Linked DNA regions of Arabidopsis thaliana. The protein of the gene in region 1 interacts with the protein of each later gene in a pairwise test. Each region holds a gene or a part of one and is shown in the gene's direction. Other genes may lie near its edges.

The links. The genes of interacting proteins can lie anywhere in the genome.
Region 2: the proteins of AGL86 (region 1) and AGL6 interact in a two-hybrid assay, tested with the Arabidopsis thaliana proteins (one large-scale study listed by BioGRID).
Region 3: the proteins of AGL86 (region 1) and SEP4 interact in a two-hybrid assay, tested with the Arabidopsis thaliana proteins (one large-scale study listed by BioGRID).

The regions. Positions count from the first base shown.
Region 1 is NC_003070.9:11,317,975-11,321,225, reverse strand, and holds AGL86 (AGAMOUS-like 86), read left to right. Parts: upstream 1-1,678; coding exon 1,679-2,698; downstream 2,699-3,251. UniProt on the Arabidopsis thaliana protein: Probable transcription factor.
Region 2 is NC_003071.7:18,802,540-18,807,086, forward strand, and holds AGL6 (AGAMOUS-like 6), read left to right. Parts: upstream 1-1,650; 5' UTR 1,651-1,913; coding exon 1,914-2,095; intron 2,096-2,595; coding exon 2,596-2,674; intron 2,675-2,804; coding exon 2,805-2,866; intron 2,867-2,986; coding exon 2,987-3,086; intron 3,087-3,159; coding exon 3,160-3,201; intron 3,202-3,278; coding exon 3,279-3,320; intron 3,321-3,413; coding exon 3,414-3,568; intron 3,569-3,655; coding exon 3,656-3,752; 3' UTR 3,753-4,047; downstream 4,048-4,547. UniProt on the Arabidopsis thaliana protein: Probable transcription factor. Forms a heterodimer via the K-box domain with AG, that could be involved in genes regulation during floral meristem development.
Region 3 is NC_003071.7:1,127,597-1,132,338, forward strand, and holds SEP4 (K-box region and MADS-box transcription factor family protein), read left to right. Parts: upstream 1-1,671; 5' UTR 1,672-2,025; coding exon 2,026-2,210; intron 2,211-2,978; coding exon 2,979-3,060; intron 3,061-3,128; coding exon 3,129-3,190; intron 3,191-3,261; coding exon 3,262-3,361; intron 3,362-3,441; coding exon 3,442-3,483; intron 3,484-3,553; coding exon 3,554-3,595; coding exon of another isoform or gene 3,596-3,646; exon of another isoform or gene 3,647-3,671; coding exon 3,672-3,844; intron 3,845-3,941; coding exon 3,942-4,032; 3' UTR 4,033-4,242; downstream 4,243-4,742. Other genes in the region: MRH6 (Adenine nucleotide alpha hydrolases-like superfamily protein), read left to right, coding at 4,567-4,742. UniProt on the Arabidopsis thaliana protein: Probable transcription factor that binds specifically to the CArG box DNA sequence 5'-CC (A/T)6 GG-3'. Plays an important role in the determination of flower meristem identity. Involved in the specification of sepal identity.

The DNA.
Region 1 (3,251 bases):
TTGAACATGACCTATAACTATAAGTAGCTTAAGTCGCCCCTAACTAAACATATAAATAAACATGAAAATTAGTGTTTTATGGCAGATGAAAGTTATTTATTATCTGAGCCAAAAATATACGGTGAGCTTGAAATAAAATTTAGCATTTAAAGAGAATGGAAATTAAACTACTACTGGATTGAATTATTTACCATTCTCTCATGTAATATCTTCTACTCTATAGTATTTTTATAACTATTTGAAAACATTTAATCAAAAATCAATAAATATGCTATTTATTTTAGAGAAATTTCTACATTTTGTAAATGTAATTGATAAGAAGAGAACCAGTCAAACAAAGTCTAATTAACGATGTGCATTCTTGTTTTTCTTATTTTTTGGTTATTGTTAGACCTCCATTTTTTTTGGATTCTCTCTCATTATAATCATACCACACAAAAAAAGTATGAGAGAAATAAGAGAAAGGTTCTTAAATAAGAACTTTTGGTATATTAACTTGAACTTTGGGTATATTACACTTGTCTTTTTTTAATTGGTTCATTTTTTGCTTTTAAACCAAAAATTAATATATAATTAAACTATATTTAAATATTAATACTTTAAAGTTTAGATATTTCTTTGGGTATGTAAAAACAACTGGAAGTTTTCTATACGTAGTCTAAAATCTTTAATTTCCCTATTTACAGCTTATAATTAGCTGGCAATGCAATGAAATATTCTAACCCAATAAAAGAAAAAGTATTCTCCAAAAGGTATAATATATGCATGATTTAACAAATTATCTCTAAACTAATTTATTACTGAGCCAAAAGAGGAAAGAAATCCATCTATTAATGTATAAAACAGTTATTTTATCCAAATTTCCTTTTAATTAGAATCAACTTAATGATTAAAAAAAATCAGGTGGACCTGCAGGCCATGACAAATGTTCTTTTAATATATTTATTAAAAAAGTTCATATAACCAAATCTGAGATTTAAAAAAATATATTTTTCTCTAATACTCTACTATTATATATTTTCATTTGTTATTATTGTAAGTATCAAATATTTTTACTAAATTAATTAATATAAATTTTAATGATATTTTATTATCTTATTATATTGGTTTACAAACTTCTTGGTATGTTCTCCTTTAATGTATATAGGTAGTTTAAAGATTTTCTTAGAAATAGAACACATATTTCGTGAGATTCATGTTACATTGTTTTCAAAAACTTTCGTGCTTTCTAAATATTTCGTAAGACTCACGTTATATTGTTTTCATTTTTTTTCTATAAATAAACAACTCTTTTGAGCTTGTATATATTCATGATTTTACATGTAAATTGAAGATGGAGTACTCTATTTAAAAAGAAGAAAAAAAAACACTTCAAACTATTACTAAATTTCATAGTTTATAAACAAAACTTTAAATTACTCTTAAAAGAAAAGTGAGAGTAATATAGGAAGATAAACTATTCTTAGTAAAAAGAAAAGAAAATCTATTCTTAGACATAGCTTTAATTAGTGGCCTCGTCAATTAATGAGACAGTAAACACAAAACAAATCTAATGAGTCCAGCAACGTGAAAAGCCACGTACTGTGTAAAAGCACAATTTTCATTTCTATATAAACAAGACAGTCTTGGGCCAAGAAAGTAAACAAAACACACACCAAAGAAAAGAAAAACAAAGATAATGAGGTCGAAAATTAAGTTATCACTCATAGCTAATAAGACCTCAAGGAGAACCACATTCAGGAAGAGGAAGGGAGGGATAACGAACAAACTCCATGAGCTAACAACTCTCTGCGGCGTCAAAGCATGTGCGGTAATCTCCAGTCCGTACGAGAATCCAGTGGTGTGGCCGTCAACCGAAGGTGTTCAAGAGGCGGTTTCCATGTTTATGGAGAGGCCGGCGACAGAACAATCCAAGCTGATGATGAGTCATGAGACCTACTTGCAGGACAAAATTACCAAAGAAACAAAGAAACTGGAGAGTCTACGTCGTGAAAACCGAGAATCTCAGCTTAGGCAATTTATGTTTGATTGTGTTGAAGGTAAGATGAGTGAGCATCAGTATGGTGCAAGGGACCTTCAAGATTTAAGTCTTTATATTGATCACTATATCAATCAGCTTAATTCAAGTGTCATGCTCCTTACAAACAATGGTGCGTCTTCTTCTTCCTTTCCTCCTCCGCTTCATACTTCAGTTGCGGGTGCGGGTGCGGGTGCGGGTGCTGCTCCTCTTGTTGTTGCGGGTGCGGGTGCGGCTCCTCTTGCTGTTGCGGGGGCGGGTGCGAGTCCTCTTGCTGTTGCGGGTGTGGGTGCGGCTCCTCTTGCTGTTGCGGGTGCCGGTCCTCCTATGGCTCAGAATCAGTATGAGCCGATTCAGCCCTATATCCCTACTGCTTTTAGTGATAATATTCAATACCAAGCTCCTGTGGATTTTAATCATCAGATCCAACATGGAATCTATGATAATCTCAGTTTGGATCCAAATCATCAGTATCCGTTTCAAGATGATCCATTCATGGAGATGTTGATGGAATATCCTTATGAACAAGTGGGTTATGCTGCAGAGCATGCACACATCCCTTTCATGAACGGAAACTACTACAACTACCACCAACCACCAACCGTTGGTCTTACTACCACCGGTCACATGCCTTCCAACAACGCCACCACCACCACCACCACCAACACCACCGTTGTGTGATGTGTTTCAGTAGTTTGCATTTGTGTTTTGTCCATTTCAAAAGACCAATCTCTAATAATGTCTTTTCTTTTCAGTTAATTGTTGTAAGAGTTGAAGGTTTTACCTTTAAGTCAGTTATATTTTTATGTATTGGGTAATGTATTTCTGCGCCGTAGAGCCGGATATTTCAATTATATTTGAAGAAGTTTGGTCATAAATTTGTTTTTACTTTGTTTTTTGTTCTTAAAATACATAACTAAATAGATCTGCTAAAATCAAATATATTTTGTTTCATAGAAAATCTTACTTTGGATATATTATTCGCAAAAACATCAATACTCTGTATATCTCTTTCTCAATCCATAATTTATTTACTTCCCACACCTACCTATATAGCGAGCAAATGAACACACTAAAGAAGTAAAAACATGAACATAAATAATGAACACACGTCTCAGCAAACCCAAAAGATTAACAATACAAACTGTAGCTTGTTTAGTGTTGAAAATTTGAAAAATCAACATGATAAAATAATGAAACTAAAATAAAAGGCAAGTTTTCAGTTATCTCTTAC
Region 2 (4,547 bases), on another chromosome or scaffold:
TCATCTTGTATTTGAATTTTGCACAATATATAATGTGATGATTCTATGTTTGTTTGTAAACTTATGTGCAAATGGGCGATAACTAAACGTTCGTAAAATAGTTACATGTACTAATTAATCGAAGCACATAAATATTATATATATATATATGTATATATATGAAACGATTCATTGATTTTAAGTATTTAATTTATTTTTTAAGATTTTAGTTGTCTTAACCTCGTACGAAGAAGAAGGATATATACTATTTAACTCGTGGAGATGATGAGGTTCGGATATTTTTCCTTAAGACCACAAGACACTGACACGCCGACTGATCGATAAAAAAAGTTAAGGCCTACAATACAAAAGAGTAGCAGATTCCCTTACACGTGTTTCATTTATGATCTGTTAATTAACTCCATTGAGCTTCAATATCTCATTAGCCGAAAATTAACTTGACGTTTTCCATTGAACTGTCGAAAAAATTTGTAGAAAAAGTGAAATGTCCCCTATTTAACTTCCAAGTTTAAAACCTAAAATTAATTAGTTACCGTTTTGATGAATAACGTTGAAAGAATCGTCAACATATCAAATGATGCAGATACAACAAGGGACAAAAACATCAAAAAATTGATTAAAAATAATCATTCAGATATTAGCAATTAAACTGTAAGTAAATGATTGCATATATATATATGAATGAATACATATATATGTATCAAACTGTAAGTAAATAATACATACATATATATATATATATATAGGAAAATATCTCATTTTTCAATCATTTTCAGAGGTAAACATTTTTAAAGACAATTTTACCTAACCCAACATCTTACTATATTTAACCAGCTCTGCGAGAGCTTCAAAACAATGATGAATTTTCTGCCCCTTTTCATTGACCAAATAAAAGTTCACAAATTTGTAAAACCAATCAGCATTAATTTCGCACGTAGTTTACTTCGTCCGATTTTAGATCAAGTAGACATTTTAACCAAACATATTGAATCACGGTTCAATCAAGATACATGGTTGCGAGTATAATATATCAATCCTTCACCGCATTAGAAAACCAAATTTTCTATTTAATTTAGCGTGTTCTTTTAATGAACGCAGCGTCAGCGACAACAAAGAAGAAAAACAGATCTGCGGCGAGAAAAAATACATTGATTAGAGAAGAACTGCCGCAAAAGATGTACGATGATGAAGATTGACGTGACGCTGCTTAATTTCAGCGATTCATTTGATGCAATTGCAATTCATCGGCTATCATCGGCGACTCATCCGAAATTGTTATTTTCAAGCTTTAATGTCGTTTTACTTACCTACTACTTCTCATGACACGTCGTTTCAGTCCGCTATTGCCGCTGGCGCAGCATCAAATAAAAGAACACGCTAGGATAGCTTGAAAAGGGTACAATAACTAGTTATAGAAGAACATGAGCCATAACATTTGGAAACAAAATGAGTTAGTTTGAATTTGAAACATCGCGCTCTATGTAAAAAAAGCAAAAAAGAAAAGAAAAGAGTCCTAATAATTAAAAAGAGAAAATAAAAGGAATTTTCAATGGTCCGACTGTTACAAGTAGATTTCCATTTTTAGGAATCTAGCTATAACGATGAAGACAGAGTTATCATTTTGTTCCATCAAATATATGACGATATTTATATTTAATTTCTTCAACAACAAATATCTCATTTGTTGGTGCCACTTTCACATACTTAGGACGACTAATAATTAATTAAAAAGGATTTATGTAATAACGCACCATATTAACCTGTAACAAGAAGAATTGAAAGTAATACAAGTTTATATATATAGCAACACATTTATCGTGTACGATACTTTATTCCTTTTATCTATTCTTGAAAAAAAGTTACCAATTCTTGAGAAGAAGAAGAAATCAGAATCAAGAGAAGGAGAGAGAAAGATGGGAAGAGGGAGAGTGGAGATGAAGAGGATAGAGAACAAGATTAATAGACAAGTGACCTTCTCAAAAAGAAGAAACGGTTTGCTGAAGAAAGCTTATGAGCTTTCTGTTCTTTGCGATGCCGAAGTTGCTCTCATCATCTTCTCAAGCCGTGGCAAGCTCTACGAGTTTGGTAGTGTTGGGTATATATATCTTTGCTCCTTTGAACCAACTTTTGTGCTATATATATTAAGATTCATCCAATAAAGCTATGTTTTTTATATGAAAATTGATTAATAAATGGGTTCATTTGCTACTTGTTACATCGTACGATTCAAGAGTCGGATCATGTTTTGATCTTGTGGTTATTCTTAATGGTTGTATCGTTTATCCTGTGGTAATTAGGGTTCATCGTTATATCGTGTCTCCCTCTTGGATCCTTTATCATAAGCTAATAGGTCCTTCCGTACGTTATAATTTGTTGATTTCCCATTCATGAATTCCTTTGATTCTTTAATCTTACAGATGACAGGTTTCAAATGGGTTTAATTCTAGCTTTAAAAAAAAAAAAAACAAACAAACTAGGGTTTTCCCTTTTAGATCAGTGTGTAAGATATATAACTTGAGTTCTTGTCGTAAGAAGAATCTTTATTTGTTGAATCGAGCTAATGATCTCCCATTTTTGTTTTAATTGAATTTGTAGAATTGAAAGCACAATCGAACGGTATAATCGTTGTTACAACTGCTCTCTAAGCAATAATAAGCCTGAAGAGACTACACAGGCAAGTGTGTGTACGTACTTTGAATATATTTACAATTATTGTTTCTGATGATAATGATTCTAGCTAACTCTATTTTCTCAAATTCTCATGTTACTATATATATGCATTTCATATAATCTATATGGTGCAGAGTTGGTGTCAGGAGGTGACAAAGCTTAAATCCAAATACGAATCTCTTGTTCGTACTAACAGGTCTAGTAATTAAGAGTTTTCTATAACCCCTTGAAATTAAATCGTTATTGTCATCTTCCATTATATATGTATAGTTACAAATCTATTGTTATGGGTGTTGATAATTGCTAATTATAAAAGGAATTTGCTTGGAGAAGATCTTGGAGAAATGGGTGTGAAGGAACTGCAAGCGCTCGAGAGGCAGCTCGAAGCCGCTCTTACCGCGACTCGACAGCGCAAGGTCACATGATCTAGACTGGTCTTGTTTCATTAAAAATATATTCATAACTAAAACATTCAACTAAAATATGCAGACACAAGTTATGATGGAAGAAATGGAAGACCTTAGGAAAAAGGCAAGTTATATAAAAATGTTTCATACCAAACTGCAAAACATATATGCATATCAATCAATCTATGTTTGAAATGGCAGGAGAGGCAACTAGGAGACATAAACAAACAACTCAAGATTAAGGTTTTTATTTCTAGACATCGCAAAATTATATTATAACTTCTCATATAATTAATTATGACATTTGGATCTTAACTAAACATAAATTTTCAATAGTTTGAAACGGAAGGCCATGCTTTCAAAACCTTTCAAGACTTATGGGCAAACTCGGCGGCATCGGTGGCCGGGGATCCAAACAATTCTGAATTTCCGGTAGAGCCTTCTCATCCTAATGTATTGGATTGCAACACCGAACCCTTTTTACAAATAGGGTAAGAATATACCATTTTTCCCGGCCCTTACAAATAAATGGATAGAAATAAGATATGATTATAAGACTTGTTTGGTATTTGGATTAGGTTTCAACAACATTACTACGTGCAAGGTGAAGGGTCTTCGGTATCAAAGAGTAACGTGGCAGGTGAGACTAATTTCGTCCAAGGTTGGGTTCTTTGACTCTCTGTTGATTAGACCACGATGCCACGGTCAGGCCAATTTCAGCTCTCTACAGTTGTTCTTTTTTCAAATTAGATTTCTGGGTTTTTTTTTCCTATAAGAAAAACTTTTGCACTAGATGTTTGTCATTTAATTTCCAGCTCGTGTGAATCTATATTCGCATGTATGTGCTTTGAAGAATTTCTCCTCTTACTCCTACTTGATCTAAAACATTATTTTTGTTTTGGTTTTACCAACATTTTCCAAATGAAATAAACTTTAATAATTGTTCTAAAATCAATTAAATGAATAGATTTATTTGGCATGAATACTATTAAATCTCAGACATATATTTATGAATGCTGAATTGTGAATAGTAGGAACAAATAATAAATCGTGCGACGTCGAATCAATTGGGTGACGAATAATCAAAGGAGGATTCAGCTCAACTACGCAAGTAGGAGTAATGAACTTCCGAAACAATTGGGTGAGTAAATGAAATCAACCTGTAACTAAAAAAATGAACGAATAATAAAATGCCACGTAGTTGACCTTGGAAAAAGCGCAATGATATGAAGCCAGGTAGGACCCACATTGCTGTTTCTTGATTTGACTTTTGGAAGAGAAGAGCTCCTCTTTCTTTAGCAAACTTTACTGTTGTTGATATATGTCTTTTCCATAAAGTCTTCATATTTATTGAGGTTTTTTTTTTTTTTTTACATACTAGAATTTAAGTTTTTAATACTCTCTTATATTTATGGGCTGTTATCGCAAAGTAGGCCCTTTTATAAGTGGGCCATTACAAAATAAATTCAT
Region 3 (4,742 bases), on another chromosome or scaffold:
TTATTCTTTTTAGATGTTTCCTAAAGCATCAATCTATATGTTGCATGTTGTAAGGTCACAACTTGGAACCATAAAAGAATGGTGGAGGATAGCAAGTGCGTAGAAGATAAGGATCATTTTACATGATAATCTGGATAAGACATGCGCATATACATCAAGTTTCCATCAACAAGATTTATAGTACCCAAAAGAAAGAAAGAAAAAAACTAATATTCCATCGATCTATAGAAGTTGAACAAAATAACTAAGGTACCAAGTGAAATATGAGTCAGCAAGCAAAGTTAAAAAAAAAGTTGTGTGAGACATATCACATGAGTAAATTAACAACAACCATCATCATCATGATGTAGATAGTATAAGATGCCATGAGAAGAAGTGAGGAAAAACAAATTAACCTGACAAGAAGCATCCTAAAAAATTAACCTGTCAAACAATTACCAACCTTTAAAGTGAAAAAAAAAGTTGAAAACACTAAGGCTTTGAGAGCTTAAATGTTCATAAACAATTTTCCTTTTTCTTGCCAAGATCAATCTGCAATTTTTGTGTCAAGCATGTACGAGTTATTGTTATAAATAAATCTAGAGTCGTTATGTGAGTTCTACTGTATTTTATGAAAATCGATTAACTAGTAAAATACATCAGTCTTCTTAAGAAGAGAACCTAAACACGAAACCCTCTAATAAATGCTAGATTGCATATTCTTACACATCTATATTAGTGTCAAAAACATGATTGGACTGATTTTATAGTATTGAACAAGAACGTGACTAAATTTTCAGAAATTGGAAAGAAAACAAAAACATGATATATTTCAATATCTAAATTTCACCATATATATATAAAAAGACATAGTGCATGTGAGACGTAAAAACCTTTGTAAATAAATTTTCTCTTTAAATAGTAAATAGTACCATATCAGATTAACCATTTCAGAGTGACATAATTTGTTTGTAACCGTATAGATCCGTTTTATGCATTAAAACGATCGTGAAGTAGCTGTCATACGAAAGAACTTGTCGGCAAGAGAAGCAAAGCATAAGCAGAAAAAAACATATCTTTTAGAAGCCTATCATTTTCTTACTTTTATTCACAAACACACACAATATACATTATAAGTGTTATCTACATAATCTAAACGTGTCAATACCTGAAAAAACAACAAAACTTTATTTGCACTTCTTTCATTTCATGAACAATACATAACCAGATATTAGATAGGACTTGGACTTGTGAATATGCTCTATTTAAGGCATCTTTATAGGTTATATTTAGAATCTTTTTCTTATTTCTTTTTTGAGCATATTATTAAACTATGGACTAGATCTGATGAAAGAAAGCAATCTATTTATATATTATGGTGTAAATATTATCTTTAAAAAATCCAATGGAGGAGAGTGAAAGAGAAAAGTTGAAGCATTTTGTTTGGACTATAGAGAGAGAGAAAAAAAGATCTTAACTCTCCTTAGAAAAGTACTAGGAATCAATTTTTATTTTCTGCAAAAACAAAAGTGTAAAAGAAAATTAATAATAATATATATTCCCTGATGAAGTAAGACTAAAATAATGTAACTACACAAAAATACTTTTTAGAATTTATAATATTTTATATTAATTTTTAAAAAAGGAAAGTTGATAAGATTGGATATAAGTTTGGAAGCATTTATTTGGCCAAGAATGGCTTAGCATCTCTGCAAAACCAACACAAAGCTATATTCTCTTAAAAATCAGTTCAACAAAAGAAGAACCTGAACACAGTTGGCCCACCACCACCACTACCACAATCTCCTCCTCCACCACCACCACCTAGTCACCGGAAACCAATTCATGCCCTAGATTAAGAACCAGAATCCTTTTGAGACAAGATCTATATATACACTCTACACATTTACTTATACACTTTATCTAGATATAGATGTGTGTGTGTATAAAGGTTCTTTTTCATTACTTGTTGGTTTAGTGATAAAAAGGAGGAGAGTTTTCAGTTGGGTTTTGGTTTCTTGGTGAGAGAAGAGAGAAAAAGAGAGGATGGGAAGAGGGAAAGTTGAGCTGAAGAGGATAGAGAACAAGATCAATAGACAAGTTACTTTTGCAAAGAGAAGAAATGGTTTGCTCAAGAAGGCTTATGAGCTTTCTGTCCTTTGTGATGCTGAGATTGCTCTTCTCATTTTCTCTAACCGTGGCAAGCTCTACGAATTCTGCAGCAGCCCTAGGTGAAAACTCTTTAATCTTTGATATATCTACTTTTTCCCTCAAAGTTTCTATATTTTGATCCATGTTAGGGTTTTGATTCTTAAGGATTATAAAGGATATGAAAACTTTGTTGTCTTTCTTGATTTAGTTACAATTAATTAGTTGATTAACTACGGTTTATTTATTTTGTGAGTTCATACGCATAAATCTGGCTCGTAAAGAGTGAGATTAAGTGAACGATGATCAAAGTACGTACAAAGCGTCTAAGTTGCTCTAGATGATGATTAAAGCTAGAGAGTAGAGACTATGGCTGAAAAAAGTACAGTAGATATGTGTAGAAGCTATAGAGCATATATAAATATAGTTAAAGCTTTTACACATGAGATTGAGTGTTGTTGATATTGTTTCCAAAGGATTGATCAGAGTTTCCAAAGAGACTAAGAATTGACCTCTGGATATATACACAAAGCTGTAAAAGATATAAAAAATACTTTGACTACTTCTTTAAGTTAGTATCTCTCTCAAGTACTACTTATGATCTTATTAAAGTTATAAAGAGACAACTGTGATGATACTCAATTTCACTAGCTACTTATCATTTCCACATAAATTTATTTTATTTTTCTTGCACAAACATCATGAGATTGATACCCATTTTGATGTTCTTGATGTTTTTACATGGAGATGCTTTTAAGGTTTTTTTTCTATATTATTCTCATAATGAAATTTAAAGTTTGGTTTATCAATATATGTTAAAAGTTAAAATGATCATTTGTTTTTATGAAAAGTGGTATGGCGAGGACGGTTGATAAGTATAGAAAACATAGTTATGCAACAATGGATCCAAATCAATCAGCTAAAGACTTGCAGGTACATATCTTCTCTTTCAATCAAAGACTGACCTCAAAGTTGTCCTTAATTTTATTTTAAATTGGCAGGATAAGTATCAAGACTACTTGAAGCTTAAATCAAGAGTTGAGATCCTTCAACATTCACAAAGGTACTTATATATCCTAGTCCATCTAAATGTAACTATATATGCTCTTGTTACTAAATGTTTCTTCTTTTTAGGCATTTGCTAGGTGAAGAGCTATCCGAGATGGATGTGAATGAGCTTGAGCATCTCGAACGCCAAGTAGATGCATCACTAAGACAAATAAGATCTACCAAGGTATATTTCTAAGCTTACAAAATCGACAAATTTTGTTTCGAATCTTTCATCCTAAATCGTTGTTTCGTTTTCATTGCCAGGCTCGGTCTATGCTTGATCAACTATCTGACCTCAAAACTAAGGTACATACTTTATATAATAAAAGTTGCACAATATCCAAATACAACAAGCTCTCATTTTCTCAATTTACAGGAGGAAATGTTATTGGAAACCAATAGAGATCTTAGGAGAAAGGTAGCTATCGGAATCTTTTACCGCAAGAAACTGAAACCATTTGTCATTTGAAATCTTCCTATTCTTTCTTTCTCAGTTGGAGGACAGTGATGCAGCACTTACTCAATCGTTTTGGGGAAGTTCTGCTGCAGAACAACAACAACAACATCAACAACAGCAACAAGGCATGAGCTCTTATCAATCAAACCCTCCAATTCAGGAAGCAGGTTTCTTCAAGCCTCTACAAGGCAATGTAGCATTGCAAATGAGGTATCTACAAACAAATAGTCAAGACCCTTGAATTATTTTACCTAATCAGAAATACTTAACATTTGTTTGTGCTTCTTTATTGTTTTGATATAATTAGCAGTCATTACAATCACAATCCTGCAAATGCAACCAACTCTGCAACAACATCACAGAATGTTAATGGATTCTTCCCTGGATGGATGGTCTGAAAACAATACATATCTATATATGTACACATATGTGTGTTTTATAGATCAAAGATCATTGCTTGTGTCATTTGATTTTTGCCAGAGAAACATAGTTCATTATTACAAAACTTTGTTATATAATCAAGGCTCTAATGTCAAACACCAGATTATTACTTTTTTGTTCTTTGTTTTTTGGCTCTCTTGAAATATAAAATATTGTTTTGGGAGCTTATTTTTGTTTTATTTTTGAACATCATATGAATTTGTTAGATTATGACAAAAGTTCTCCGGATTAGAACATGTCTCAAGAATTGGATTCTGAAACAAGTAGTGCTCTGCATTTGTATTAAGATTGTGATGTTGATAATTAAAACGACTAAATAATTTTTGCCAGGTTGGATTATAATGAACAAGTCCAAAATGTTATTTTAATTTTATTTTCATGGCAAGCACGTTCAAGAAATGGCTCCAACCAAAAACCAAACAAACATAACAGTATTTAAAACACAACTAAAACCTCAAAGAACAGAGAGAAGAAAAACAAGAATTAAGAAAATGGGGAAACCAGCAGGGTATTGGGTAAATAAGATTAGGACATCATTCAAAGGAGGATCATCGTCGAGCAAATCATTAGATGAAGGAAGTACTTCGGGTTCGAGAAAGAACGGTTCGAAGCATAGTAAGAATCTGAAAGCAGAGGATGCTAATAAGAATGGTGAAGGAGGAGGAGT